Linked DNA regions of Diceros bicornis minor. The protein of the gene in region 2 binds, or shares a complex with, the protein of the main gene of each other region. Links are inferred from orthologs where the notes say so. Each region holds a gene or a part of one and is shown on either strand. Other genes may lie near its edges.

What was found.
Region 1: the proteins of LTK (region 2) and ALKAL1 are in contact, whole or in part, in a crystal structure (PDB 7NX0), measured with the Homo sapiens proteins. The link is inferred for Diceros bicornis minor from reciprocal best matches to the Homo sapiens genes LTK and ALKAL1. Residues at the interface, in NP_002335.2 of Homo sapiens: Tyr124, His140, Phe143, Ala250, Ser251, Pro252, Glu253, Leu359, Phe360, Leu361, Gln362, Leu364, Ala365, Val366, Glu368, Glu372, Glu374, Arg376; in NP_997296.1 of Homo sapiens: His93, Arg96, Leu97, Asn100, Thr101, Arg102, Glu103, Arg112, Arg115, Leu116, Arg119, Leu120, Ser123.

What each region holds. Positions count from the first base shown.
Region 1 is NC_080772.1:6,561,042-6,576,295, forward strand, and holds the start of ALKAL1 (ALK and LTK ligand 1), read right to left. Parts: upstream 6,631-15,254; 5' UTR 6,176-6,630; coding exon 5,992-6,175; intron 1-5,991. UniProt on the Homo sapiens protein: Cytokine that acts as a physiological ligand for receptor tyrosine kinase LTK, leading to its activation. Monomeric ALKAL1 binds to LTK, leading to LTK homodimerization and activation.
Region 2 is NC_080744.1:39,197,260-39,213,301, forward strand, and holds the start of LTK (leukocyte tyrosine kinase receptor), read right to left. Parts: upstream 8,558-16,042; 5' UTR 6,331-8,557; coding exon 6,288-6,330; intron 5,723-6,287; coding exon 5,579-5,722; intron 5,452-5,578; coding exon 5,280-5,451; intron 4,802-5,279; coding exon 4,651-4,801; intron 4,507-4,650; coding exon 4,360-4,506; intron 4,142-4,359; coding exon 3,985-4,141; intron 3,910-3,984; coding exon 3,727-3,909; intron 2,885-3,726; coding exon 2,786-2,884; intron 2,391-2,785; coding exon 2,238-2,390; intron 1,802-2,237; coding exon 1,706-1,801; intron 1,417-1,705; coding exon 1,218-1,416; intron 696-1,217; coding exon 605-695; intron 467-604; coding exon 402-466; intron 212-401; coding exon 82-211; intron 1-81. Other genes in the region: RPAP1 (RNA polymerase II-associated protein 1), read right to left, coding at 8,997-9,146, 9,253-9,312, 9,450-9,626, 11,322-12,078, 12,950-13,092, 13,333-13,485, 13,694-13,889, 14,171-14,280 and 3 more. UniProt on the Homo sapiens protein: Receptor with a tyrosine-protein kinase activity. Following activation by ALKAL1 or ALKAL2 ligands at the cell surface, transduces an extracellular signal into an intracellular response.

The DNA.
Region 1 (15,254 bases), on a different chromosome or scaffold from region 2:
AAGCAGGTTGAAGGCTCATATATCACATTTTTAAAAATATTAACAAAAGTACAAAATGTTTACAATGAGCATACTATTCAGGAACATCAGTTAAATTTTAGATGAATAACTTGTCATTTTATTAAATTTATCTCAATATTTATTTTTCCACTGAACAAGTGTATGCCTTTTATTGTAGTCACACTTCTTACACCACTAGCAGCCTGATGAGTCACCCATAATGCCCCCCCCTCGCTGCTCTGCCCTCCCCAGGTGGCCTTTCCTTCTTCACCTGGTACTCTATTCTGGCTGGCCTTGTCTATCTAGCATCCCCCAGGTGCTGAGGTAGAGCTGGGCTGCCTGCAGCAGCCAAAACAATGTTTTCCAAAGTGGACTCCTTCAAAACTACTTCTATGAGATGGAAGTAAATGACAGATTTTAAAAAGAGAGAGAAGGAGGGAGGAAGGAAGGAGGAAGGAAGAAAGGAAGGGAAGGAGGGAGGGAGGGGGAAGGGAGGGAGGGAGGAAAGAAGGAAGGAAAGAAGGAAGGAAGGAAGGAGAGGAGGGAGGGAGAAAGGAGAGAAAGGAAAGGAGGGAGGGAGAAAGGAGGGAAGGAAGGTTAGTTTGGCTAATACCGGTTTACATCAAGTTTCCTGTCCCACAGGTCTCTGCAGTTCTTGTATAGTGCTTCTCTAACGAGGGACTTAATGGTCATGTTCCTGAAGCTGGTAGACCAAGGAAGCCTTTTTTCATAGACTATCTTTCAAAACACACTGGAAAATGTACCTATAGAGCTGTGGGTGCCTGTGGGGATGAGAGAGGGAGCAGTGAGCTACCGAGGAAATAGAAGCATGGCCATGGTTGTGGAGGGAAGTCAGGAGTTGTCTCTCTCAAAGAAATTTTCCAGAAGATTCTGATAAACCACTTTTCTCCTCCCCTCCGCAATTAAAAATCTCTAGTGGTTCCAAAAACTCAATAGTACACAAGAATCCTCAAAGAGCTTGTGGATGCACACGCAGGGGCTATACTCAGAGGTTTAAGATATCCAGGATGCAGTGCAACAATTACATCTGAAACTGGCCTCTCAGTTGATTCTGAGGCATACGGCCCCAAGAGCCTCATTTTAAGAACCATTGCTCCAGAAGGTATTAAGGGCAGCAAATGTTGTATTGTCTAAACTTGGTTATAAATGCTAAGAAATTAGCTCAGGACTCAGAATGGCACAGATTAAATCGTAAGAGGATAGGTCTAATTTGGCTTTGGGGGCAAATAAAAAATCAAGTTCTTTTACTTTTAAAGTTAAATTTTTAAAAAAACTCAAATTTTCAAAATTTCGGTTCTAAAGAAAAAATTCTTCCTAAGTGTCAACTTTATACAGTAACTTTGGCAGGCTACAGGGTATTAAAACTGAGTAATTCTCAGTCCCCAACTTAAAGAGGCTTACATTCAGACAAATATAATAATATTTGATGATAATATAATATTGAACGTACACAAGTTACAATATGATACCAAACGTACATGAGTTACAATATGAGGAGTGTTGTAGGAGGAGAAAAATGCTGTCTGTGTTTAAAGGAGAAAGAAATCATTACAGAATGAGATAATCTAAGCAAAAAGGCTCACAATAATTCCAAGTAAATCACATTTTTAATAGTATTTTAATGTTATTAATATGTAAAATACTACACATTTTCAAACATGATATAAATATTTTAGCTACTATCTCCTGATAGCTGCTGTTGACAGATATAGAATTAAAGTTCTAACAAATGCCTAAACTCCAGAACACGCCACTTCCCTCTTCTATGACGTTTCCTACAATAGTAGATACAAGAGGGAAACATCTGGACTCTGCACCAGTCGCGTGGCCACATGTTTTTGTCTTTCTACACAGCAACAAAGATTTTAGAAATCTACTCTTAAATGCTCCAGAGCTCATTTCCAGCAATAAAAGTGATAAAAAATAAAAGGAAAAAAATTAACATTAAAAAGGAACTTTTTAAATCCAGTTTTCCTAGCCAAGATATGATTGAAAAGTAGTCTCCTAGGATTGTGTCATTGCAGGGAATAAGAAGCCATCGTGTGTGACTCTGTCAACTTCCTGCACAGAACTTCTCTACTTACCAGCTAGATGAAGGAGCTCCTGCAAACAGACAACAGTTACTACTCAGAAACACTCTGAATGCGCAGAAGTGCATCCATGTAAGTTAGCTCTGGATGCTCATGGCATGTGTCCTTCTGGTGATAGCACTCGCCACATATACTTGGCAAAATCTCATACACAACCTTTCCATCTTGACCTCTTCCCATGCCAACAGTTTTCAGTAAATCAAATAGCTTCAAGTAACTCTGCAAATAGAGTACTAAAAAGTACCCATCTGTACCCCCTTCTGGGTGATATGCAAAGCAGGGAAAAATTATTTTTATTATCATGTAGAAGAAATTGTTACTCACCAGGCAGGACTGGCTAAGAGGGCAGATATAATAGTAACAGACTTGCAACAGAGGGAATTTGGGTCATACACATAGAATCCCACTATCATGCAAGTCCCAGCAGTATTCAGTATATTTTTTTAAGTTTTACGTTTTTTTTAAGTTGTATCAGAACTGTGGGGACATTTGCAAAGTGAATTTAAGATTTAGATATTTGTGAACACGGAAATAACTATAAAGACATCACAAAGGAAGATGGCCCAGAAGGATAGGTGGGATTCTGACAGGCAAAGATGAGAGAAGCACACTGCAGGAGACAGCAGAAGCGCAGAGGCATCTGGAAGGAGCAGGCCGAATGCCTGTGACTGGAACAGGGGCACTTACTGTGGTGCACTGAGAGCCACAGGAAGGCAGACGGGGCAGGCCACAGGGGACTGAATGTCCTGTCTTCAAGAGAAGTTAGGGCTTGCTCAGAAAATTAGGAGAAGCCACTGCCGATCTGTGACTGGGGAGGAAGTCACTGTGACAGGCCAGCACTACTTACGAAGAATGTTCTTCTGCGATTGTTCGGAACAACCTCATCAAAATGACCTTCCTGTTCTCGCCTTAAGCCCCATGCCAGAGAGGTTTTATATTTTAAAAAAAACACACACAACACAAATTTGATTCCAGAAAGTCTGCAGTATAATGTAAAGGTTTACTGAAATCTCTTGAAAAGGCAGAGGGGCCATAATATACACCAAACTTTCTAAAAGTCTCCCTTATACTTCTATCTCCCCACATTTCACACCAACTCCTTTTCTGTCCCAAATTCCTCCAAACATCTCCTGTGCTCCCACCACTGCCCATTTCTCAGTTGTGTGATCTTGTCTTTACTTCAGTGGCAAGTGCTTCAATGCTCCCTTTCTTTGGGCAGAGTTTGCGGTAGGATTCTTTGCTCCATCCTGCTGATGTGATGGTTAGAGACAAGGGAAGAGAGGAGTAACAGCCATGAAAACACACACCTTCTAATTCTTATCTCATTAAGGCAGACTCTGGCAGGGGGCACTAATGGAGCTGTGGAGACAATCTAGAAGGTCAATGTCACACTGTCATGAGGGCTTGAACTGGGGTGATGGGAAGGACAGAAAAAAGGAAGAATCAGATTCTAGAACATTTGAGGCAGGATTTCTTAACCAAACTGAGCTCCTGGAGAACCAGAGCCAACAATATCTGTTAACTTCATATTCCCAGGCCATCAGAGGGACCTCAAATGTGTGTTGAATGGCTAGATGAATAAATGCATGAACAATGGGCAGGCTGTGGGGGGGAGGGAAAGCCAAAGACAGTGAATCCCAAGTGCACCTGGGAACCTAACACTCACATTTCCTTCCACGCCACCCCACAATCCTAATGGTATCCTCCTGCTCACTGTCTGGACACAGGCTTTCAGCCTTACTGCTCCCTCTACCTGGAATGGTCCCCCTACCTGGTGCCTCACATCCATATTTAGGGAGGCTGCCTAACCTGCAGAAAAGGGAGAGCACACAACTACACATGCAGCAAGGATTTCAGAGCCCAGAGCATGCACCTTAGGTCTGGGTGACGGTGCTTACTATGCTGCAGAATTAAAGGGGCAGGACTCCAGACACATCTGGAGGGGACGAGAGTCCTGGGCCTCCAGAACCTGGGAGATGTTTCCTTCTGAATGAGCTATGACCCCCATCGCCACCTGAGAGTGTCCTGTGAGAACATCCAGATAGGTTGTCCTCTATTCTCATGTCCTTGTTGGTCCCTGATCCACACCCAGGTGTTCCATTCACAGACTCAGATATAGATGTAATGAGCCACCCTTTCTGCTCACGTTAATAAAGTACAGTCATCAAAAGAGGAGACCATCATAAACAGCTACAGAAACAATGGACTCGGAGGGTGACCCACAGATCACTTTCTCTCAGGCTGCATTGTTTTTTAAAACTTCAGACGGTGGCCACTTTTATTTTAACTTTTAATAAAATATTCTGTTTTCTCCTTTGTAACTCACTTCAGTAAGTCTTCACTGTTTTTAACCAAAGAGAAAAGATCTGTTAAAAACTTAAATGAAACAGATCTGAATTAACGTGTAACCATAAATGTTTCTGCAGTTTGAGAGTTTCTCCCACTCTTTTACTTTCCAAAGTGACACTGCATTCTCTGAGATAAATATTTGGGCTAACAATAATTTCAAGTCCAAGTACATGAAGGGTGTGGCATCATCACTGCATCACTGCTGTGGTCACCATCCTGCTCCACCTCCCTCCCTGAAAGCCCTGCGCTGGCAGGTCACCCTGGAAAGCTCTGCCCAGGTCCTGGACACAGGAACAACCCACCTCAACTTTGAGGCCCTCCCCATCACCCCCTTCGCTCCTGTCGCTGCCCGCCTCTTTAGGTTTCCCTGTGCGCCAGCCTTCCCCTCCCTCCACACCCAGAATGCAAACTCAGAGAGCACAGACACCTGGCTGCCTGCTCCTCCCTGCGACCTCAGCCCTCTGCACGAGGACTGGCATGCAACAGCTCCTCAGTGAAGATTTGTGGAGTGAATCAGTATATACTTATATCATAACTATTATGAAAGAAAAATGACATTAAATAATCCCTCTTTGCTTTCTTACAAGTGAAGCGTGATGCAAAGGCGTTATGAGGTGACAGCTGCTGGGCTTCCCCAGGCAGGGAGCTGGGACCTCGCTCTCAGCAAGCCGGGCGGCCCTGAGGAGGGGCCCTTCTGCTCCCAGCCTAGCCGGCAGCTCCACCTTGCCCTGTAGTTTCACAGGCTCTAAACAGAAACACTTTTGAGTAGCTTCTCTCTTCTCTCCTCTCTACCTTCCTTCCTGCCGTGGCGCCCTGCACTCCTCTGCGCCCGCTGTGACCTCCTTGTGCCCTGGGCTTTTCCGGTTTCCCCTCATTTACTGCACTTCTCTAGCTTGGGGTGTCTCATGACCCACTATTCTGGCTATTTTCTCTCCCTCCTCATTTCTCCTCTCAGCCCTCCTTGGGCATCTAAGCAGCCAGGAAGCTGAGCGCCCGGAGCTGCTTTGCGAGCTGCAGGCAGCGTCTGGGGCCTGCTAACCTGGCCTAGGAAAGGTCAGCGAGAAGCCACCGCGGCATGCTGAAATTCTTGGTGAAATTCGCGCGTTCCTCCACCAGTCCCTGTGGCCAGCTTGGAGCGGAAAGAAAGGAGCATCCCGAGCACGTTCAGGTGTGACGGCAACGATCGCATTTAATTCCCAAAACCTAGGAAGACGCAGAATGAAGCGCTGACAGGTACTTCGTCAGCTGGGACTGAAACCCAGGTCTTCTGGCTGCCCTATCAGCCTACGTAAAAGGCCTCTCACACCCGGGAAGGGCCATATCAAGCTGGTTCCTTTGTTACTTAAGTCTCCACAACGGTCAATCTGATCAACTCAGTACCTCCTTCCCTGAGAGCCGGTTATCTGCAGAGAGGGTCTCCTCTGCTGTGTTTAGTTCAGGCTTCCCAAAGCCAGTGCCTTTCCCGGCTCCAAGAGGAATCCCCTAAGACCCAGGCTCAGCGCGAAGGACCGGCCGGGAGGGGACTTCTTACCTGCGCTCCGGGAGGCGCTGGACGCCGGGCCGGCCCCAGCCGCGGGGAGGAAAAGCTTGGGTTCCTCGTTGGCGACGCGGGCTCCCCTGCGACCCCGGGGCCTCCCCTGGGTGTCCTGCGGGGACAACGCCAGCGCGAGCAGGAGCAGCGCGGGCAGCGGGGCGCCTGGCTTGGCCGGCCGCATGTCCGCGCGCCCGAGGACAGGGCAGGGGGCTCCGGGCGGGCGGCCGCCGGGGCCGGGAGTGGAGGTCCGCCCAGGAGAGGGGCGGCGGGGCTGGGCGCGCGCTACCGGCCGCCGGGGTCCTCGCCGTGTCCCCTTGGGGTTCGGGCGGGAGCGGCGCTGGGACTTGGCCCGCGCAGGCCGATCTCTGCTCTCTCGGGGTCGCGGGGCGGGGACGCGAGGCGGGGCGGCAGGTGGGGACCGCGGGGGTGGCCCCGGGGACAAGGCGAGTCCCAGCGCCCGAGACCCTCCGGAGTCCGCGCTGCCTCCCCCGACGGACCGGAGCCCGGGCTCAGCCTGGTCCTCGGGGCTCCCTCGCCCCGGCCCCCCGGCTCGCGTCCCCCGCTCCGTCCCTGGGAGGGCCGGGTGAGGACCCGCCGCGGCGCCGCCGGTTCTCTCGGGGCTCTGTCTCCCGCGCCCGCCCCGTCTACGCGGTCAACAGAACCCGCAGCTCTGGGCCCGGACGAGGAAAGCAGCGCCGGGACTCGGCCTGAGGGGCGGAGACCGCGATTCTGGAGGCCGAAAGGCGCGGAGTCCACTTTCTCCCGCCCAGAGCCCTCCCGCCCTGAGCGGTCCCTCCCGCCGCCCCCGCCGCGCTCCCGGGGCCCAACCTGCCCGGCGGGGGCTCCGCCCGGCGCGGGGCCGCCTCCCCTGGGGCGGGGGCGGAGCGGGTCCCGGGTCTGCGCTCTGCACCGCCCACCGCGGACGCCCAGCTCCTCGGGCCCCGATTGGAGTCCCCCCGGAGTCACCGGTGTGGTGTCCCCACAGGTGAAATCACCACGGTCCACCAGCACGCCAAAGACCGCAGACGGCTAGGTTTTTTAAGATAAAGAACTCTGCAAATGTTTTGTCCATGCTAACGATAGAAAAATGAGATTAAGTCCACTTGTCCTGATTAAAATAAAGGTGGACATCTCTGATCAAACCGTTGCTCTGTAAAGTACTGTGATTTTACTCATTTGATTAGCCCGCTTTATTGTTTTATGTTAAGTATGTTGAGAAATGTTTAAATTGCTCGCTAATCAATTGCGAATTATCTTTTCAGATGCAAAGCGGCAAATAGGTGAAAGAGAGAGGGAAGGAATAACCGCTTTAGGCATTGCCCTAAATTACCCTACAAAGAGATCTTGTCAGTCACAAACCCTGAAAAATAATCCCAACTCGGTCAAATAGTTTTTCTAGATTTGGTATTTCCAACATGTCCGGGAAATTGGGGAAACATAGCAGGCTTTACAAGAGCCCTATAAACATCACGCTTATGAATGAAACTCGGGGAAGTCGTCATACAGGCGAGACTGCGGCTTCGAATCACTCAAGGAAGCATAAGAAACAAGTATTTCCAAAGCACACTCAATGTCATGTGAGAATGGCTTCCATCGTAGGAGACGCAGAAAAGCCATCTCAGAAAAAATACATTTTAATGTATTTTAAGACTCTTTTAAGAGTCTCAGAAGGCCCTAGTTAGGTGGAGTAAGTTCCTTCTCACAGCTCTATTCAAGTGAAATAAGAACACATTAGGAGTCCACGGCCATTGGCAAGTATTTCAAAAATTAATTTTAATTAGAAACATAATGAGTTAGGGACGCCTATGATAAACTATGGGAAAAACACAGTGTGAAATATTGCTGGTAGAAGAAGTGACACAGAAATGACAATGAGAAATGGACTCCAAATCAACTATAAGGAAAAAAAATAACCCTGGAAGCTGGGTTGTCTCCCTGCTTTCTCCATATTGAAACTAGAGGGAGTGAAGGATCTGAAGAGGTTTTCAGAGCCTGACGCTTGGAGCTCTGCTCTCTGTTCAGTCATTAGCTATGTGACCTTGAGCGCGCTAGTGAGCTTCAATTTTCTCTCTGACAAAGTGAAGAGACTGACTTTTAGTAGTTCTCAGACTGCAATGTAACGTGTCTGTGAAGAATGCAAATTCTGATATTCCCAGGGATTTCAGCCCCACATGGGAAATGCCCAATGAATCTGCATTTTAAAGGACTCAGGTAGTTCTGAAGCAAGTGGTCCTTGAAACCCACTTTTATTCATTCAACAAAAATTATCTGAATGCAAACTGTAGGCCAGGCACAGTAGAAAACACTGGAGCTACAACTGTGAGTAAAATAGACAAGATCCTCATCTTTGTGAAGCATCTAGCTTCAAGGATGTAGCTCCCCAACATAATGGTTTTACCATAAACAAACAGGTTGCTTATAATTAATTTACTCTTTGCTTTTTTTCTTTGTTTTGTTCATTGTTTATCCTTGACTCCTCGTCTTACTGGCCCAACTTAATGCTCCTTGCTCTACCTCTTGCTAACTAATTCAGAGGCAACTTTAAGTGTTGATGGAGATACAATCTCAGTAACATATGCTAACTTATTTTTTTAACAGACTTATTTTTAGAGCAGTTTTAGATTCACAGCAAAATTGAGAGGAAGATACAGAGATTTCCCATATACCCCCTGCCCGCCCATACACACCCATAGCCTCCTCCATTATCAACATCCCCAACCAGAGTGGGACATTTGTTACAACAGATGAACCTACATTGATATGTCATTATCACCCAGAGCGCACAGTTTATGTTAGGGTTCACTCTTAATGTTGTATATTCTATGGGTTGGACAAATGCATCTACCATTATAGTATTACATGGAGTAGTTTCACTGCCCTAAAAATCCTCTGTGATCCACCTATTTATCCCTCCCATTCCCCTGCCCAACCCCTAGCAACTACTGATCTTTTTGCTGTCTCAATCATTTTGCCTTTTCCAGAATGTCATTTAGTTGGAATTGTCAACACTAATAATCAATAACCAATCTATAGATAAGAAAGATAGAGTGATATTTATTGAGCCTAATGTAAAGACTAGCCCAGAAGTGCTCTCTTCCACAGAGAAGAAAGCACTCCAGAGAAGTGTGGTTTACAGCAAGGTTACATACCCTTTCAGAACAAAGAACATATATCAACATTTGACATTACAGAGCAGGTCGACTTGACCATGGTTCTCTGGGATGAAAAGCTTATCTTCAAAGAAGTACTGGTATCGGCATCAGAGGGAGGAGACACTACATTCTTATCTTTAAAGAGTGCATTCTTTGTTTTGGGAAAATGTTTGAAGCAGATGTACAATGCATGTTTGGTGGGCCGTAAGTCAGGCTGCTGTGGGAAAAACAAGTTTTAGGCCGAATCAGATTTAAACCAGAATGGCTTCCCCGTATACCTTGATGTGTGAAAACTTAATATTATTCTTATTATTTTCATCAGAATCATACAGTAAGTTTTTCAGATTGGCTTCTTTCCTTAGTAATACACATTTCAGTTTTCTCCAGATCTTATTATGGTTTGATAATTTCTTTTCTTTTTAGCACTGAATAATATTCCACTGTCTGGATGTACCACAGTTTATTTATCCATTCACCTACAGAAGGACATCTTGGTTGCTTCCAAGTTTTCGCAATTATGAATAAAGCTGCTGTAAACATCTGTGTCCAGGTTTTTGTGTGGACATGAGTTTTCAGTTCCTTTGAGTAAATACTATGGAGAGCAATTGCTGCATTGTATGATAAGAGTGTGTAGTTTTGTAAGAAACCACCAAGTTGTCTTGCAAAGTGGCTGTACAATTTTGTATTCCCGCCAGCAATGAATGAGAGTTCCTGCTCTGCACATCCTTGTCAGCATTTTGTGTTGCTAACTTGTTTTTAATGTATAAAGCAGGGATAGCTGTGTGGAAAAAGGTACTTAGACAGTCACTAGTGTTTTAAATAACTCAATATTTAACAGTGCACGTACTAAAACAAGTTTTTAAGCCTTGAAACTGAAATCTTCATTTCTTTATAAAATGGCTAATAAACTGAACATATTAAGATCCCCTAAATATTTAACACCAACAAACCCTATTCAACATTTTAAATTACAATCACAAATTTAATATATTTGATTCTTTCAAACATTTTCTTTTGAGGGGAGTGAGAACATTTCAGTTCAACTCTCTTACCAAATTTCAATTATATAGTAGTGTTATCACCTATAGTTACCATGTTATACATTAGATCCTCAGACCTTATTCATCTTATAGCTGAAAGTCCATACCCTTTTACCAACCTCGCCTTATTTCCCCCATCCTCAGCCCCTGAAAACCACTTTCTACTCTGTTTCTGTGAGTTTGACTTTTTTAAAATTCCACATATAAGTGATATCATACAGTATTTGTCTTTGTGTGGCTTATTTCACATATATATATATATATGTGAAATATATATATATATATCATGTCTTCTTTATCTATTCATCTGTTGATGGACACTTAGGATGTTTTCATATCTTGGCTATTGTGAATAATGCTGCAATGAACATGGGAGTGCAGATATCTCTTCAATATCCTGTTTTCATTTTCTTCAAATATACAGTCATGCCTCACATAACGACGTTTTGGTCAACGATGGACCACATATACAACTGTGGTCTCATAAGATTAGTACCATATAGCCTAGGTGTGTGGTAGACTATACCATCTAAGATTGTGTAAGTATGCTCTATGATGTTGCACAATGATGAAATTGCCTAACGATGCATTTCTCAGAAAGTATCCCCATCATTAAGTGATGCATAACTGTACTCCTGGAAGTGAGATTGCTGGATCATGTGGATCATATGGTAGTCCTGTTTTCCATAGTGGCTGCACCAATTTACATTCACACCAACAGTGCACAGGGGTTCCCTTTTCTCCACATCCTTGCTGACACTTGTTCTCTCTTGTCTTTTTTATAATAGCCATGCTAACGGATGTGCGGTGATATCTCAGTGTAGTTGTGCTTTGCATTTCCCTAATGATTAGTGATGTTGAGCACCTTTTCATGTCCATTTGGCCATTTGTATGTCTTCTTTGTAAAAATGTCTATTCAGTTCCTTTGCCCATTTTTCAATAGGGTTGTTTGTTTTTTGCTATTGAGTTGTGTGAGTTCTTTATATATTTTGGATATTAACCTCTTATCAGATATATGATTTGCAAATACTTTCTCCAATTCAGTAGGTTGCCTTTTCATTTTGTTGATGGTTTCCTTTGCTGTGCAGAAGCTTTTTAGCTTAATGTAGTTCCACTTGTCTATTTTTGCTTTTGTTGCCTTCCCTTTTAGTGTCAAGTCTAAAAATCAGTACAAAGATCAATGTTAAGGAGCTTTTTTGGTATCTTTTCTTCCAGGAGTTTTATGTCAGGTCTTACATTCAAGTCTTTAATCCATTTTGAGTTAATTTTTGTGTATGGTGTAAGATAATGGTCCAGTTTCATTCTTTTGCATGTGGCTGTCTAGTTTTCCCAACACTATTTATTGAAGGGACCTATCCTTCCCCAATGTGTCTTATCCATTGCATATTCTTGGCTTCTTTGTCATAAATTAATTGACTATATATTATGAATGACCATTTGTCTGTGGGCTCTCTATTCTGTTCCATTAATCTATGTGTCTGTTTTTATGCCAATATCATACAGTTTTGATTGCTATAGCTTTGTAATATAGTTTGAAATCAGGAAGTGTGATGCCTCTAGTTTTGTTCTTCTTTCTCAAGTTTTTTTGGCTATTTGGGCTCTCAAACATCTTTAAAAGACAAAATGTTAAAAGGCACAAGTATTGAAAAACGTCTTGCTACACTTTCCCAAAATTATTGATAATATAAACTTAATTTTGTAAAAATTATCTCTATACATATTTTGCACCTTCTGGGATAACAAGCTTATTTTTCCTGACCAAGGTGAATAGAAGTCCTGTTTCAGGTCAGCTGAGATTATTGATTCAGGTTTTTCTGTTAGAAATTCAGGACGTCAATTCAGTTTTGAATTCAGGGAACAGGTCAGGACTGTAACACAACCTGGGAGAACATCTAAGACAATTAAACCACATCATGGTGTTTATGGAACCAGGCCCTTTCCTATAGTAACAAAACCTTTCAAGCTCATTTCTCTCTAGAATTTGCTGTATTACATATGACCCTTACCTTTTTTTTAAAAAACTCTTACAAAACTTTTAAAATAATTTCCTTCACAATTTTCTTCTGCCTATATTAATGGAACTTTACACACACACACATACACAAACACACCCCAGGCTGAAAAATTGTTACATAATGTTTCACTGTCTGGTTCGACCTAAACTTCATTCAATACACACGTAGTTTGAATTGAGTAATATACAACATATTCTGTAAATATGATTGAAGAATCGTGCATGCTTTTGCCTACTCCTTTTGAATAACATTAAGAATTCATAATAATTTTCACAAAATTATTTATTTATTTTTTTGATGTTCAAACAACTCAGTTCAGTCAGCTGGAACCTCATACGCTGTCTCCTTTCTCCCTGACACTCCACAAACATCTGTGACAGCATCAAGCATCCTTGCTTTCTAGCACCGACAAAGGTGTCCAGGTACATCATGATTCCCCTGATTCCTTTCTCTCAAGGAGAGGGATTGAATCGGCTACCGTCCAGGAGGTTTCAGCGGAGATGAATATCAGATTGCTCCCCATGACAAAACAGGGCAGTTGGGATGAACGTCAGCAGGGTAGCAACGACCTAAGTTTTAAAGTTCATGAGTTCATGTGGCTGTTTCCAGTTTAACTCTAACTTTACTAACCCTTTTCTTAAAATTATTTTTCAAGTATGTTTTTAATTTTCCATTTTTTAGCTACCAGCTTTTCAGAGTTTTCATTGTGTGTGTATATATATGGTTCATACAATTATACAGTAGAACAAAGAAAAGGAAAGGAAGGGAGAAAATCAGTAAGGTCATTTATAACTTAAATGAGTAATAGGTATATTTATGAACTAACATTTCCTATAACAAACTAGTTTTATGATAACATGCAATTTCCACAAACAAGTTTCAGAAATTTTGAACATTAATAAGCTTTGGAGTTGAGTTGCATTACGGACAGTGAAAGACTCTATGGTAAAACAATCGACAACCTAAATCCTTACCTCTACACTGCATGTCAGGAAAATGAAACAAAGAATCTGTGAGCCGTGATAAATGTGACAGCCAATCTCATTTAAAATCAATGAGTTCCACTGAGCAGACAGGTAACAGGAGGCTTTTTGTTGAATATGCTGGTGGTAAGTATTCTGTGTTTCTTATCATCTCAGGAAAAAGAAAACATTTTACAGTGCAGCGTTGAAATAAAGAAAAGATGTTTAGGTGTAAGGAGATTGGGAAATTGCTTTCTCTCTGTGCAAGACTTCTTGTCCACATTTCCCTGTTAATCAAGGCCAGGCAAGAAGAGAATGACCCAGTCTATCTGACTACACGACTCTCCGTGGTGACTGCACGCTGAGGCCAAAGGGGGTGCAAGCTGGGCTTCACAGAGGAGCTGCTCTGGCCACGCACGACCCGGGTGAGGGCGCCCTACAGCGTGGCCATTCTGAACACATGGGGGCGTTTAAAGCTACTACTAACTTATATCAGAATTATAAAAATCTTAATGCACAAACGCTTGTGCACTTCCTCTTTTACATGTTTAGTCTGAGCTACCTTTACATCACTTTTATGATTCTGAATCAGCTAAATGGCACACTTAAATGAAGTGGGAGAAAAAGATATCATTTATAATTCCCTAACAAGTGCATCATGGTACATTCTATTCATATTTTTGAGCTGAGATACTCAGATACAAAGAGAAAGAAATTGTAATGCTCTTAGGCAAATGTTGGAATCATTACAAACTTTTAAATGTTTATGCCCTATGCTGAGTTCATATAAACCATCCAAGTGATTGGGAATAATTTAAAAAGTAAAAGATTGGAGTTTTAAAGTATTTAATAAACTTTTATATGTAAAATGCTACACAGGACAAAATGAATTATAAGACAGCACTCTGATCTTGAAGGAGAAATAAGTTAGTATATGTTGGACTGTGCTCAAAATAATAAAAATTGGTCATAGCCCATGGTACAAGCAATTTACTAATGCCTGTTGACTAGCTGCTGCTAACTCAAGTAAGAATAGAGTATCGGAAATAGTCTAATGAGGTAGTTCCAGAAAATGGGCTCCAAAATCAATCTACCCGGATTCAAACCCCAGCTCTACCACGTCACGGCTGCGTGACCTCAGGGAGCATTGAACGCGCCCCGAGCCTCTTTCTCTTCATTGCAAAACAAGAATAATAACCCACCCACCCACCTGCTTTAGGTGACTGCCATGTCTAGGTGAGACTTAATTTTAGGCTCCTTTAAAATAAATTACAGAGGTAGAAATGCTAGGACAGCCAGAGACCAGCGGCCGTTTGATTCTCTGTTGCAGCACACTCAGTTAACTGCTCACAATTTTCAGTCCTCTGCTAGCGATGTAAATAACCTTTTTATTTTTTTGGACAGATCTGGATCTTCTGCTTTTGAGGAAGTGGCCACAGAGGGCTTTCGTCTGCAAACGGTGTCTGCTCTAAAGAAAGGAGACGTTTCTACTTGCCTCATAGCATCTCAGAAAAGTGCAGCTGGCTTAAACCTTGAGACAATTAACTCTCAAACTTGTTTATTAGAAACACCACCAGACTCAGGTGAATACTCTTTTGGGTACATTGGACCTGTGAACCCCCCTTTTAGACGACATCTAAAGCTTGCCTTCCATATGTGTCCTTTTCGCATGGACCACATACCACCACCCCTTCAGCCAGCAACAAGCTAAATTAATACCATCAAATTCTCTCTCCCGGGACCTCACATTGCACTTAAACAGATTAGCAGGTAAGTGTTTTACATATTTTATCTTCTAAACTGTATCTTAAACTTTTCCAGCCTGATGAAAGAGCATTTATTTTTCACTCCCCTCAGTACTTTGAACAGATCTCAATAAATATTTTGGGACAGGCTGATTAGAGAAAATGAGAAAAATCAGCATCATTCTTGCCGGTATATTGTAAAATGTTACTCTTTCTGTGTTAGGGCAGCAAATGGGAAGCTTAGGTACCAATAGGTGGCAGTGGTGATTCAGTTTCTGGACAGAGTATTAACAGAAAAGCAGTAAATTGCCCAAAATGCCAGATTTCATTTTCCGTCCCTGCATCG
Region 2 (16,042 bases):
GGGCGCATCAGTCCATGCAGGTTTGGGGACACATGGTCAGGGTCTTTAGAGGGGCCTGGAGAGCTGGGAGAAGGGACTCACCAGGTGCGGCCGGCTGTGCCTCAGGAAACTCTTAATGTCCCCTCCAGACATCAGCTCCAGCAGAATTAAGCGAGGGGCAGCCCGGAGGCTGAGCCCCACACAGCGCACAATGTTCTGATGGCTGAACTTGCTGAGCGAGTGGTGCACATACCCCAACACCAGCAGGGAGAGAAACCATGCTCTAGGCTCCACAAAACCGGAGGGGACCTGTGTCCCTAGACTTGCTACCTCTCAGCCCCAGGGGGAAGAGAGGCTATTCCTGCAGGCAGTTCTTGGTGCCTCCCTCCCACTTTCCACCCCTGCCCCCGGCCCAGGTGCACCTGATGATGAGTGCCTCCATGAGGAAATCCAGCTCATCCTGACGAGAGCAAAGTTCTGGCAGGGTCTGGGAGGAAAAGAGCACAGAGCTCATGAGCTCCCCTGACTCTTCAGGGAGACAGGCTGACCCTAGTGCTGGCAATTGTTCCTCCCTCCATGGAGCCCTGCTCTCCTACCCACAGCCAGAAGTCCCACCCCCTCTCACCTTGATAGCCACCTGCAGGGGGCTGGGGTCCCCAGGAAGGCCGATTACCAGTCCCTCATAGACTTCTCCAAAGGCACCATGGCCCAGGGCTCTGCAGGGAGACAGGTTGGAAGGGAGTGGGTGGCTGGGCCCCAGGAAGGGTCCTAGAGGGTCTAGGGCCTCCTTTACCTCCCTTCCCCCTCATATGCCCAGCTGGCCCTAGCTGAGGATCTGAGCTCGCTCTACACCATGGCATATCCCCAAGTACAAGCCCTGCAGGGGCGATGTTGTCTAGCACAGACCCAGGGCAGAAGGGAGGGCAGGCATGGGGTCAGAGCCGGGGTGGGAGTCTGTGGTGAGGCCTTCCCTTGGGTCCCTGCAGACATCCTGGGGTGGAGGCAACCTTTGCTCCAAAGGAATCATGTTCTAGGGTCCCTACCATCCCAGAATTGGGGATGACAGCTGACCTTGGACAAGTTACTTTCCCTTTTGGAGCTTCTCTGGCCTCCATCTCCTCTACACAAGGAGTTTGGGCCAGATGCTCTCTAGGATCCATAATTCACCACAGCAGGGAGCAGGATGGGGGAGAGGGATTTAGAGTGCACAGGTTCTCAGAAGGAGGGGGAGGACTCACTTGATCAGAGTGACATTGGCTGGGGAAACCTCGGTAAGCCCTGGGGGCAGAAGCCAGGACTGGACCGGGCCAAGCCCCACCTGGCAGTAGTAGGGGTTTGGGGCTGTCTTGATGGTGGAGGTTCGAAGCTTGCTCAGCTCGACGAGCTCAGGGCCTGGCAGCCTTGTCCTCCACAGGCCCTGCCACTTCTGATGGTTCACTGAGGATGGGAGGGACAATGGCGTACTCTCTACCTGCCCATCAGACCTGCCCTGCCTTGCTTCCCCCTGACCAGGACTCTCTCCAGATGCCCATTAAGGTAAACGTTTTCCCCAGGTCTCCCCAGCTGCTTCTACTCTTAGAACCCCAGAAGAGTCCACCACTGCTCTTCTGGAAGTAGGGGTCTTGAAATCAGCCATGGCTGCCCCTGAGACCCCACAGAAGCCCATCACAGCTCAGTGGAGAGACAGGCAGCTTTGAATCAGCCATGCTTGCTGGACGCTCCATACCCAGAATCAGGATCCCACACACCATAAGGAAACTCAATGTCAAGGTCACCACCACAGCCACCATCAGAACCAGAGGGCCTGGGGGGGTGGGCAGGTCTAGGAAGAAAGAGAGACATCTCCAGTGGGAAGCTCCTCTCTATCCCTCCACCCCAAGTTTTACCCACGCCTCAAGACACAACTCAAGAGTTAACTTTTCCATGATGCTTTCCCCACCTATCCTGGACAAACACAACCTCTCCCTCCTGAGAACCCCTAACACACTTGACACCTCCCATGGCAATTGTCCCCATGAGATAGATCTAGCTCTAGATCCAGATATCTAGATATAGATGTAGACAGGCATCACCCCTCCCACACTAGACCATTAGCCTACATGCTCCTTGAAGGCAGAGCATGCACTGATGCATCTCCAGTCCCCCACCCAGCACCCAACACAGTGCCTGGCACATAGCAGGCATCTTTCCCCATGCCCTACTGCTCCTCCCAGCCCATGGCCCCAGGAGTCCAGACCCTGGACAAAGGCAGGACATACCCATGCAGGTGATGTTATCTGCAGCCAGCTCCATGCCCTCTGGGCACATGCATTCGGCCCACCAGACCTCCGCCTGCCACTGGCAGTCAGTGAGAAGGCAGTGACTGCAGTTGAAGTGCTGGCGGATCTCCACCTCACCATGGCTCTCTGTGACTATGAGTACAAGAACTGATGTTGCAGGGTGAGGGGGGAGCACACAGACTTTTTCCAGCTACATGGTTAATTCTAGCCCTGGACTTTGGAACAAGGAGCGGTGCCTGGCATTTAAGGGTGGGTGGGAGGGGGACTTTTGTCAAGCCTGCACACTCCCTCTTCAGGGATCCTTAAGCTCGCAGGTATTTAAAGAGAATTCATGGCAAGGAGATACTTGGCAAGTGCCCCAGAATGCTCCAAGCGACATCCAACTGACAGCCCTGGTCCCAAATGTTCCTGTGCTGTGCAAGAACAGGTAGTTCACAGTGCGGAGTTTGTGGCTCAGATGGGAGTGGGCTCAGGGATTGAGGAAAAGGGCTAGGCCAGGCTGAAAGGTCAGGGGCAGGGGCCAATACCTGCCAGAGGTTGCAGGTAGAGCTCATTGGTGGGGTGTATGTAGGACACTCCATCTTCCCCATCAGCCCAGAGGATGTCAGTCTCTGAGGCATCACCCCCTGGAAATTGAAAGTGATAGAAGGTTTGGCTACAAAATGCAGGGAGGAAGGGGCACACAGCTGCCTCACAGCTGGAAAACTGGTTTATGAACAGTGGGGAAGCTGGAGTCTCTTGGTGGAAACCCCAGTGTAGCTTCTCCACACTAGCATTACAATACAGGTGCTGCCAGCTCACAAGTGGGAGCCAAGCAGTCAGGGCGAGGGCTGGGGGTGCTATGAAATGGGAGAGGCCCAACCCACATATTCCATTTCTGTGATAATGTGTAGGAGATGATGTGTATAAAGTACTTATGAACAGCACAGCCCAGATAGACTCAAAGGCTCTGTTTCTTTACACTAGTGGTTTCCAAACTCTGGGGTGTATTAGAATCACCTAGAGGATTGATTAAAACACAGATGGTGGGACCCTCCCCTAGAGTTTCTGATTCAGTAGGTTGGAGGGCGGCTGAGAATTTGCATTTTTAACAACTTCTTAGGCGGTGCTGATGCTGACTCAGAGACCACATGAGAATTTCTTACTTAAACTATCCCTGCCTGTCTGCCTCCCTGCCCAGCTTGCCAACTCGCCCAGCTCTAAGTTCCTGGGACTGCTGCAGAACAAGGGGGGGACGTGTTGTGATGGAAGAGGTCCTGGATTTAAATAAAATCTAGAGAGTCCTGTCTGCACGTGTGATTTGCAACTTATGTGACCACCTTTTCTAAGAGCTCTCTACCTGCTCTGGCCTGGAGCGGGACTCAACGTCTTTCCCGCTAATCCTTTTGAGGGACTCCGGCCTGTTCTAAGGCTCTAACCTCACTTCACCCCAGGGCTGCCCAGCTGCCCTCCCCAACGATGCACCTACCCCGGTAGCCGCCGCCGCCTCCGCCCGCAGTGCAGGCCCCGCCGCCGCCCCCGAAGCCTCCGGCTGCGGCCCAACCCAGCGTAGCCCAGGCCTCTGCGCAGCCCCTGCCGCCCTCCGCCCCCTCCTGCAGGGAGCGGCCGGCCTGCGGAGAGGGGGCCCGCGACGTCCAGCCGCCCCCTCCACCTGCGGAGAAACGGCGGGACGGCTGGCAGCGGGGTGAGGAGCAGGCCCACCTCTCCCCGTGGCCCGCGCCCTCACCTGCCGCCCCGCTCCTCCCGCTGCTCCCGAGCGCCGCCGAGCGGTCCTCCAGTTTCTCAGAGGCGGCTTGAGCCCGGCCTCGGTCCCGCCGCCTCAGGTAGGCCCGACCGCCTCCTCCGGCCGCCACCAGCAGCGGCTCCAGCTCGCCGGCGCGCAGCTACCGGGCCAGCGGCAGTCACGTGAGGACCCGGCACTGGGCGAGGGCTCCCGCCACCCGGGCTGGAGTAAGGCAAGGGGCTCCCAGCCAGCCCCCGGGATCTGGGGACCCCCAGGCCGGTACGGAGAGCTCGTGTGTGCGCGCCCGCGGGGAGAGGTTTGGGACCCCGACGCTGAGCGCTGGGGGCGCGAGTGGCCGGAGCGGGGGCGAGCACGTACCCGAAAGACGTAGGTGGCGCCCCCGCCACCCCCGCCGCCTCCTGCCCAGCGCCGCGACCCTGGGACACCTTCGGTCCCATCGGTCGCCGCGTGCTCCTCAGCGGCCTGAGACTCTCCTAGGCAGACGAGCTGACTCTCCGGGCTCCCCTGCGGGCACCGCGCGCCCGAATCAGCGGACCCGGGACCCTCCCCTCGCGAGGCTGATGTCTGAACACCGGGGAGCGCGCCTCCCTCCACCCTGCCCTCGCCCTGCGGCGCCTCAGACGCCCCCTTCCCACAGGCTCCGCTTACTCCCGGACAGGCGTCCTCTCCCTGCTGCCCCACGAGGATGTAAAGCGGCTCCCCACCACGAAGGGAGCAGATGGCAGAGATGAAGACGCCATGCGCCCGCGACAGGTGGTTCTTGGCGCCTTTGCCGCCCGCGGCGCCGTAGGCGGAGATCCTGCGGAAAGCGGGCGCTGAGTCCACAGCCCTCGACCATCGGTCCTCAGGCCGCCCGTCTGGGGTAGAGGCTGGTGACAGAGGTGGCCCCAGAAGTTCTTATCTGAGGCACTTAGAGGCCGTAGTCGATTTTGAAGAGATGGAGAGACTAGGTTTGCACACCAAAAAATTACATTTTACACTTTTTTAAGGAGGCTTAATGGAGATAGGGGAGGCTCAAGCCATCCCTTGGCGCCGCCGCTGGTTTGGGGCCCTCTGCTTGGACAGGAACAGGCTCCGGGACGAGCTAACTCGGTGGCGACTATTTCGGCCCTTCCCCAGGTTCCGCTGGAAGTAGGGACAGTCAAGGTCGCCCAGTCCGCAGGTCGCTGCGGTATGCCCTAAGACGCAATGTGGTGCGCATGTGGCCTTCGTTCCTCTAACCGCAGAACCTCCGACTCCCAGCTCTCCACCCACCTCTCTCCCTGCTCCGCACTTACAGGTACTGGCCGGGGCCGGGCGACCGCCACAACTGCACTCCTCTCAAAGGCCCGGCGGCCCCCACTGTCACCACCACGCTGCTGCCAGCGTACGCCCCGTCGCACTGTGTTTGTGTGGGCCCGCGCGGACCACTGGCCCCGCAGGTGGAGAACCTCCAGGGCCCCTGGGTGCCTGGGAGCAGGGAGGGAGGAAAGGGTCATAGAGCACTTGTCTCCGTCCCCCCCCCCCGCCCCCCCCCCCCCCGGCCCAAAGGTCTGGGCGTGGTGAGCGGAGAAGGGAGAAGGAGCTCGGAGCTCACCTCGGGGAATTAGGGGAGAGGCTGGCTCCAAGCCGCTAAGCAGGGCGGTGACATTCGGGACCCGGGGCCTTGGAGCTGGCGGCGGCAGAAGCGAAGATGGCAGAAAAGGCGCCTGGGATCCTGAGCTGGAGCAGAAAATTGTGCCTGAAAGTTGACAGGGAGAGAGCAGCGTTGGGAGAGGGAGCAGGATGTTAATGGAGGACGGGAAATAAAGCGATAGATAACCTCTCGACAGCCAGCCCTTGCCTCTCGCGGCCACGCCCCTAACCCCACCTAGCCAGTGCACACCAGCGCTTGGAAGCCGGCCACAACCCAACTCTGGTCGCCGAGGCCCCGCGGGGTGCCCACTGATACCCCTGCAAGTTTCTCCCCTGGAGAGCCCTTCCCAGTGGATGACTTGGGGGCCGCACTGAGCTCAGTCCTGCAGGGCCCCCATCCTTTCCTTGACTTAGCGTGGTGGTTCCGCCCACGGGCGGTGCTGAGACCCCAGGGCCTGTCCCTCCTTCCCAAGCGTGATCCGGGGTCCTCGGATTCAGGCACTCACCGCGCTTCTCAGCATGCCCTCCCGGAACACGAACCTGGGAGCTTTGGCCGCGAGGGGTGGAGGCTCTGGAGGAGCCACTGGGACTCGGTCTGTCGCGACCGCCGTCCCTAACCCTAGGAAGGTGCTTCTGGCTGGACGGTTCGCTGACTGCCAGAAGGCACTTACCTGCGGCTCCGAGCCACAGCAGCAGCCAGCCCGGGCGGCCCATCCCCTGTTCAGCCCACTGCAGCTAGGGATGCATGCTCAGATCTTGCCACTTCGGTCCAGACTGCCGCTCATAGCAGTGTACAGCCGCTCTCTAGTCACCGCCAGGTCCTAAAGCCGGCCTGGCCACACCCACCTCAGACCCTGGGATGCCAAGGAGGGAAGGGAGGGGCGTGTGGGCAGCCAGGTCCCCATGCTTCCTGAACAGAGCTTGCAGCGCCTCCACCCAAGGGCTCTCTGTCTCCAGCCACTGGGTTTGCTGCTGGCTGCCCCAGGGAACGTAGTGTGTATGAGGCAGAGGAGGAAGCCACCACCACTTTTGAGGCAGAAGCGTGACAAAGTGGCACGCCATGCTCCAGACACCCTGCTGGGCTTCTAGGTCTCTCACATCAGGAGTAGGCGGGTGTGCGCTTCACTGGTGGTGGCGGCAGCGGTGGTGTGTGTGTGTGTGGGGGGGGTGATAACACATGGAAAGTACTTTTTAAACTGCCCCAAAGCATCATTACTTGCCATTACTTGTGTCTTTCAGTGCCTTTGTGACTGCCAGGCTGAACCTGCCGACACCCTCAGAAACATGGATCTCTGGGTTCACCTCATACAATTCTGTTGCCTGTGTTAACTGCACAACTTCTTACTGTGATGTGAAAGCCAAGTGAAGTCCTAGACCTGATGTCAGAAGCTCTGAATGCTAGTATTAGCATCCCTAGTCAACGGGTGATGGTGCACAGGTCACAACTGCTCGGAGACAATGTCCTCACCACCTGGAAAATCCTATGAAGAGAAACTCCTCTGTAACCCACAAGGCACCCTGCAACTGTGAGGGCCACTAGCTTTCAGGTGATTGTGTCTGGGGTCCTCATTCTTGTGCTCAAAATACTAATTTGAAGACTGAGGCCTGCGTTTACTATAAAACACTGGTAAAAAGAAGTTATAGTAGTTAGCTACTTGGTAAAGTCTCTGAGTATAAGTGCTAGGTGTAGACATAACAGTGATTTTGTAAAATCTCTGGTCCCCATGCCCTATTTATCTCTGTAGACACCCCACTTTGAGGTCACAGAATTTACTTTGCAAGGTCCCTGTCAGCCAATGGTTCTCAAAGTGTAGTTGGTCCTGGACAGCAGCATCACCTGGGAACTTGTTAGAAATGCAAATTCTTGGGTTTCAGCCTAAACATACTGATTTAGAAACACTCGTAGTAGAGCCCAGCAATCCATTTTAACACACTCTCCAGATGAGTTTTGTCACATGATAAGTTTGAGAACTATTGCTGTTTGCAGATATAGTAGTCGCTTAATAAAACCTATTGTATAGTTTTGTGTTCAGCAGCTCCATTTATGGGGAGTGGGTTCTCTCTACCTACTGACAGGGCACTCTGCACTCACCCTGATGACCTGTAAAAACAATGATGGTAAGTAATTCCACACAGCAAATGACACTGTAAGAAAGTTTATGTGTTAGAATTCAGACAAAACAACAACCTGGAAACTCTACCAAAAGAAAGATGAAGTGATGAACCAGAGTTTATGCTTTGACCCACTCCTCCCCAGCCTGTGCCTAACCACCAATAAAGTCCACAGTGGAAGGGGTGTTGTAGGACAGTGCTATAGACTGAATGTTTGTGTGCCCCCAAATTCATACAGTGACACCTAATCCCCAGTGTCAGGGCATCTGGAGGTGGGGCCTTCAGGAAGTGATTAGGTCAGGAGGGTTCCACTCTCATGGGTGGAATGGGATTAGCGCCCTTATAAAAACAGGCCCCCAGAGAGCTCCCATGTCCCTTCTGCCATGTGAGGGCTGTCGATGAACCAGGAAGTTGGCCCTTAGCAGACACCAAATCTGCCAGCACCTTAATCTTGGACTTCCCAGCCTCCAGAACCATGAGAAATAAATTTCTGTTGTTCATAAGCCACCCAGTCTATGGTACTGTTACCTAAACAATTAAGAGACAGCTACTGCACCAGTCTGATTTTTGGCTTCTTCAGGTCCCAGGACAGCAGCTGATAGAAACAGGGGACCACAAGAAGACAAGATGCTGACCTCATTAAGCACACCTATACTTCAAGTCAACTGCAGAGAGAGTCCTTCCAGAAGTGGCCCTGTTCTCAAGAGCACTGCCCTGGTCTGGCTCCACTCTAGAACTGGGACTCACATTTTTGTTATCCCAGATGTGGACTCAATTTTCACCTCCCACTCATGATTCCTCTCCCATCTCTCTCACAGTAGTCCTGCTTCTCCCCTGGGATAACCCATCCCTCAATACCAATCCTGAACTAACACGTCTGAAATCAGTCCAAATCAGATTCCCAAGAGATAAAAAATTTTTTTATTTCAATGCACAGCTATAGCATTCATATACCATGGCCTGGGGCTGGGGAGGAGGGCGGGGATACTAAATTTGCCTTGTCCCCAAGAGGGAGTTAAGTAGCTAAGTCACCCTTCACTCCCAGCACAGACCCTCAGAAGCCCCAGATCCTGAGCTCCAGATATCAGGATTTAAGGGTAGGGCTTACCCTGCTCCAGAAAAGTTCATACAGCCTGCTTCCAGGAAGGCAAGCCTTCTGCTCCTTTGTCTCCTGCCCACCCGTAGGACACAAAGCCCTTCTGTCTGGCCAGGTATCTGCTGGTGAACCCCAGGAGAATGCATCCATCTCTTCATCTGTAGTAGCTATACTAGATCTCTGATCCCCCATTTTGGAGCATCCCTGAGGTCAGTCTCTGGAGGTACTGCTGACGCAGAGCCGGCAACTGGGGATAGAGCTCAAAGCCCTCTAGGAGGGCAGAATTAGGAAGCTTATAGTGGAGGAGGTGCCGCCGGAGACCCTACAAAAAGGGAGGAAACTTCATGAATTGGGTAGTGAGATCCTGTTGAGATCTCTGTCCCTGAAGACCCTCTATTCTCCCCCCATCTAGGATGTGCCCCACCTACCTCATCTGCCAGCAGCCAAGTTTTCTGCAGCATGCTCCTGCGGGCAGCCTTTACCTCGTCCTAGAGGCAGAACAGGGACAGGTGGCACTGGGCCAAGGGCTGGTACCCATCACTGGCTTGCCTGGCCCTCACCTCCTCCCCAGAAGCAGCTCATCGCAGGCTCCCTTCCTCCTTATGGAGATGGGGATGTAACTTACTGAGCTCTTTGGGTCCTGGGAGAAGATGAAGCTGTTGACATGGGCCACAGCCACAACATAGAGCACGGGGCACCAGCGTGGACGGAGTGCACCAGTAACCAGGGCCCGGAAGTAGAGCTGAAGGAGGGCCAAGTTGTCTTCAGGAGGCCCTGTGTAGCACTCCAGGGACACAGGCAACTGTGACAGGGGAAATGAGACATGTTGGGTGAAGGTGGGAATGCGTATCACCCAAATGCAGGGTGGGTGGCTTATGGTCACATGAACCAAGTCACGAGGGCAGAGATCAGGTCCTAGACAGACACGTGTCCCTCTCTGCCACAAGGATCAAGGTGAAAGACTAAAGAGCTGGAAAGCAGGGGAAGCTGGGAAACTGAGAAGAAGCTGTGAATTTTTACTGCCTACCACTACTTGTTTAATCCATGTAAAATTAAAACTTTCAAAATGTCATCTTCAACTGCTCAATTATATTGTCAAATCTTTCAAAAGTTCATGTTCTTTGGACCACTAATTCTCTTTCTAAAAATTATTATTAATTCCATGCAAAAATGATTATGAGAGAAATAGAGATAAAGTTAATGTCCAATGGTGTTTATTACAGTGCTACTTAAAATAGCAAAAAATCAGAAACAACTTCCATGCCCACCAAGCGGTTCTGATAAAATAAATTGGGGGATACCTACACAATGGATTATTATGTAATAATAAAAAATGTTGATTTATTAGAATATTAATGATGTAGGGAATGCTTATTATGTAATGTTAAATGAAGAAAACATTATGCAGTGATCCCAATTTTATAAAAATATATATGCACATAAAAAAGACTAGAAAAAGACAAATCAAAATCAAAATGGTTACCACTGGGCAGTGGCATTACGGATAACTGGAATGTTCTTTTTAATTCTTAAAAATATTTTATATTTTTAGTTTTTTATATAAAATATACACTTATATTTTATATACAAATATCGTGTATTTATATATTAAAATATTTATATTTTAAGTTTACCAGAATAAGTTATAATGAAAATAAAAAAAATAAATCTTACAAAAAAATAGTAACTCTTTACAGCTTATAAGTTTAACTCCTTAGCCTGATATTTGAGGCCCTCTAAGGCTTTATTAGTCTTGTTTCCAACAAGTTCCCAAACTGAAATCTGTTCTAGACTCCTCCCTCCTCCCACCCTGTCATACTCCTTTCTGCCTCTGAGCTTTTGCTTATGCTGTTCCACTAGGTACATCCTGCCCTTCCTCCTCAACAATCCAAATTCTACGCAACCTGCAAAACCCAGATCAATCCCCACTTCTACAAAGCCTTCTCCTTATGGGAGGCCCACTTTGATCTTTTCCTTCTCTGAATCCTGACTAACACCTAGAATTTGAATGATTTAGAACTATGTTGGTTTTTTAGTACATCTCTTCTTATCTAGATTATAGCAGCTCAGGAGCAAGAGCCATGTTTGTTAATAATAACAAACATCCACTATATGCCAGATACCATGTTAAACCCTTTTCATGGGGGCCAGCCCCGCGACCTAGTGGTTAAGTTCCATGCACGCCACTTTGGCAGCCCAGGTTTGGGGGTTTGGATCCCGGGCGCGGACCTACACCACGTCCCTCCCCCATCTCTCCCCATGCTGTGGCAGCAACCCACATACAAAGTAGAGGAAGACTGGCACAGATGTTAGCTCTGGGCTAATCTTCCTCAGCACAAGAAAAAAAAAAAACTTTTCATGGATTCTCTTAATCTCCTCAAAGCCCCTCAGAGGTAAGATAAGGAACTGAGGTCCACCAAAGCTCCCCACAGCTTGGGACTGCCCCCAAGGTCCAGTGTGGGTGCCCATGGTAGGCTCTGCTGGGCTGAGAAAGTACCTGGGTCAGAGGCAGGCCCAGAGCTCGCAAGGCTCCCACGTGCTCCCCAAAGAGGGTGAGACGCAAGGTGACGCTGAACCGACGCTGCAGGGGAAGGAGTACCAGAGCCCCGAAGAGGTGGTCTCCAAAAGAGACAGACTCAAAGTGCTCCAGGAAGTTGGCATAGAGGTCAGGGAAAGACGTCAGACCAGGAAGTGGGCAATCCAAGTTGAGGTTTGGCAAGACTTCGGGCTGGCAGAGCTGGGCCAGGAGGGCTGCCACCAGATGTTGTATTGGGGTCTCCCGGAACAGTTCACTGTCCACCAGGAACACACACATGAGCCGTGCCAGGCGGGCAGCAGGAGGTACAGCCCAGAGGGCCTGGGGGCGCCAGCTCTCTAGGACTAGCACCCACTGCAGGGCCCGCATGGCTGTGCCCACAGTGTCAGCAGGAGGGAGCCCCGAGGGAGTGTCTGAGGCCCGGTGGTAGAGGTGAATCAATGGCAGGAAAGGCCAGTCAGTGGGCAGCAGTGGCGCCTTAGGCACAGGGAGCAGCAGGGCTGGGATTCGCTGTAGCTCCCCTCGATGCACGGCCTGGGAGGCTAGCAGACTGGCTCGGGCCAGTGAGCAGTGGGTCAGGTAGCAGCTGCGAATGCTGGGGAGGTCCTGGCAGGCCTGAGCTAGTTGAGGCCCTCGTCCACACCCAGGGTCCCTGCCACTCCCTAAGGACAGCCGGTCAGAGAAGTCAGCTGCCTCAGGACCCCCTGAAGCTCTTTCCCTGTAAAAGAATCCAAAAGCCAAAAATGAGGGCTGGAACCACAGCACCCAGAAGGCCATGCCAGCTCTCCAGGGCTTCCCAGCGGCTCCTAGGTCCAATCCTACTCCTCCCTGTTCCCCTAATAACCTGCCATGCAGTGTGTGTAGCACTTAAGAGGATGGACACTAGAGCCAGCTGCCTGGGTGCGAATTTATAGAACTTCTCTGTGCCTCAGTTTCTTCACAGTAAAATGGAGATGATAATGATAATACCTATTTCTTTTTTTTTTTTTTGTAATTTTTTTTTGTGAGATCAGCCCTATGCTAACATCTGCCAATCCTCCTCTTTTTTCTGACGAGGAAGACTGGTCCTGGGCTAACATCCGTGCCCATCTTCCTCTACTTTATATGGGACGCCGCCACAGCATGGCTTGCCTTGCCAAGCAGTGCGTCGGTGCGCGCCCGGGATCCGAACTGGCGAACCTCGGGCTGCCGCAGCAGAGCCCGTGCACTTAACTGCTTGCGCCACAGGGCTGGCCCCAATAATACCTATTTCATGGTACAGGTAAAATACTTAAAATATAGACAAATACTTAAGAGACTACCAGACAAAGAGTAAGCACTGAGTAACTGTTAGCTATTACATGTGTGTAGCTAGTTTATATACCACTTTTAGCCATATAGTCACACTGAAGTCTCATGATATTCTCTAGTGTGGTTATCCTCATCCTCGCTTCACTGATGAGGAAATGCAAGGTCAGACAGGTTAAGTGTAATCCATGGAAGAAAGAGAATGAAACCCAGGTCTCCTAGTTGCAAATTCAAGGCTGCTCTGTCAACAATCACAGCAGCCTCTCAAAGGGCTGAGTTGATGCCACCAACCCTGGACTTACGGGAGGAACTCTGGCCGGAATATACAGCTCAGCAGTAGCTCATGGGCGAGGTGCTCGCTTCCGGGCAGCAGCCGGCTCAGCAGGGCCAAGGCCACGCCATGATGGAGGACAGCATTTGTGGCCGGCTCTGGCTGGAGTGTTGCCTGTGGACAGAACAACCAGGAGGCAGCAGGGAGAGAGGGTGAGACGGGACAAAGCAAAAAGCAGTGAAGAAGAGGAGATAAGCAAAGGGATATATGCTGAAGGGCACAGAGCCTTGGCGTGTCTGGAGGAAAGCAGGAGCTGGCGGTCTGCCAGAAGCGGCACAGGTTCCAGAGAAGCAGGATGCAGCTAATGCAGGGCGGGGTGGGGAGGAACCGACACAGACAGACAGGGGTACCCACCGTTCTCTGAGCCAGAGTGAGTGCCAGGTACTGCAGGTGGTACTCATGGCGCAGGGCCCACGCAGAGAAGGGTGTGAGGTGTGGAGCAGCCACAGGAGCCACACATTGGAGGAAGTAGTTCTGGAGTCCTGGGGCAGCCAATATGGCGGCCAGCTGAGGAAAAGCAAGCTTGTTCAGATCTAGAAGGTGACTTTGATTCCTTCTGGGGCTCCCCAGATAGCTCCCTCCTCCCTAGCCAAACTCAGAGAAATTGCTACGGGCAGAAAAGGCCTCCCTTCCCAAGGGGCACCCTCCCCCTTTCTTTCTGACTCCTGCTATCTTGGTCCCCTGTCTGGCCCCTAACCAGGCGCCCACAGCTCACCTGGCCACATAGCCCCTTGTGGATCTGGGCCAGGGTGTTGAAAAGAGAGAGGAGGGCAGTGAGAAACGGGAAGGGGGAGGCTGAGCCAGCTAGACTGAGAGGGGGGCGGCCTCCTGTACAGCCCAGTGACACGAGGCTGGAGAGAGTTTCAGGGGCTGGAGCACAGGACAGCGGGTTGCAGAGAGGGGAGCAGCGCCTGAGGGCAAAACAGAGAAGTTGATGGGGGCTCTGGCCTGATGTGCGCCAGGCTGGAAAAGAGCTGCTTGGTCTGCGACCAAGGCCAGCAGGGGCTTGGCTCTGCAAACGAGTGCCCACATTCCTCAGAGCTCACCGTAACTGCTGCCTGCTAGGGATTCAGGTTTCCCTCAGGCTGAGGGGTTCCACTTGGGATGAATTAGGAAGCTAAACCCAGGAATTCCACAAGGAGAGAAACCGCCTCCTCACTCCCCTCCACAAAACCACACACACAGTACATACCCAAGGGAATCGCACAGGCTGCCCAGAGTGGGCTGGTTCAGCAAGGGCAGCAGCAGCTCCTCTGACAGGCCCTCCATGTCCTGAAGCCAGTCCCCTGGGCACAAGCTTGGCTGGAGGATCAAGGGGCTCACTGAGCTGATGGCCAAGGACACCTATTCTCCTAGACCCTGTGAACCCAGGCTAAGCCCATGATTCCAAGAGCCCCAAAGAGCCAGTGTTTGGAGGCTTCTGCCTTCTGACCCTTCTGGAGGGAGAGAAGACCCCGAGGCTGCTCCGGCACCCACTCTCTAGGGCTCCTAAGAGAGCATAAAGGCTCCAGGGAGACTGATCTGCTGTTTGGGGTCTCTGGTCCCCACCAACATGGCTCCTTGGAAGCTCCACTGGATATGGAGGTGGAAAGAGGAGGAAAGGTGGGAGGAAAAAGGTGGAGAGTAGGAAAAGGTGGGAATGGGGAGGCAGGAGTGGAGAGGTGGAGACAGAGGGAGAAAGAGGGTGGAGGGGTAAGATGGAGGCAGGACACCCAGGGCATGGTGGAAGGCAGACAGGCAACACTCACCTGCTGGCTCCAGGCCTGGTAGTAGGCGTCCAGGAAGAGCAGGCAGGCAGTGGGCACCGGGCCCAGGGCACTCCACATCTCAGGTCTGGGCAGCAACTTCAAGGTCTGTCTTAGACATGGCTCCACGAGAGGCTGGAGCCCAGACACCTGTGTCCAAGTGATCAAGGAAGAGGTGGCCGACAGACTGGCCTCAGCAGAGTCACTACAGGAGTGCCAAAAGGGGCTGCAGTGAGGATCTGGCACCTTAACCCCCCTTTAAGCTCTAGCAACCCTCTCCCTGTGGAGGAGCACTCCCACCTGTCCCAGAGCTCCTGGTAGGACATCCCTGCTGGCAGCTCAGGGCTGTAACCTACCTGCTGCGTTCAGGGGCAGTACTGCTGGCTGCCAGGGTCAGCTGAGTGAGGAGAGAGAGCAACGAGGCTATCCGCTGCATGGATAGGGGCTGAGGGGAGTGGGGGCTGAGCTCCTTGGGTACAGCCTGCAGGGCCTGCATCAGCACTGGGTATAGCTCCCTGGGGGAGAACAATTACTGCCTTCAGTGTATGAAGGGAGATGGACATGTCAGACACAAGGCAAGGCCCCGCCCAGGGATCTGCAGCCGGTTAAGGAGGAGCAGGAGGAAGAGGCCCAGGGCTGGGTACTCTTGGAAGGCTTCAAGAGGGAAGGAAGGCTGGGGGCTGAAGGGAAGGAGGTAGCATTGCAAAGCTTCCCCCCAAGAGGGAATGTAAATCTGATTTCGCCAAGACACAAATGCTGTTGTGCACAGAATGTGGTTAACCCTGTTTTGTTCCACTTTCCCCAGCTAGTCCTGATCCCTAAGCCTTCTTCATTCCTCCCAGAATCCCCTCTTCTTCATTCTCAGCCTCCTTCCAAGACTGAAACCTGAGCAAGGCTGAGTCACCAGGTTAGGCAAGAATGCAGAACCACGGGGGTCTACAAGGGAACCTACCCCCAGCTCTCCTCACCGGTAAAGGTCACCACCCTGGCCATAGGAGGCGGCCACAGCCCACAGACGGAAGGACTCGGTGCTCAGAGTCTCGGCTTCCTCCAGGGGCAAGGCCAGTTCCTGCGGAGGCTCAGCTATAAAGCGGCGCAGGCGGCTCCGGAGATCAAAGCTGCTCAACTGGGGGTGGGCAGAGAGTCTGGGGATCAGAGTTAGCTGGGGGTCCCAAGTTTCAAGCTTGAGGTTCTCTCACTACAGAGATTGGCTCAACTCAGCCAATGTCCCAGCCCTGTTCCAGGTCCCTCTTAGTGCCACAGGGTCATAGCTCTGGGCAAGGGTGAAACTACCTCATCCCTCCCCCCGTCCCTCCTCC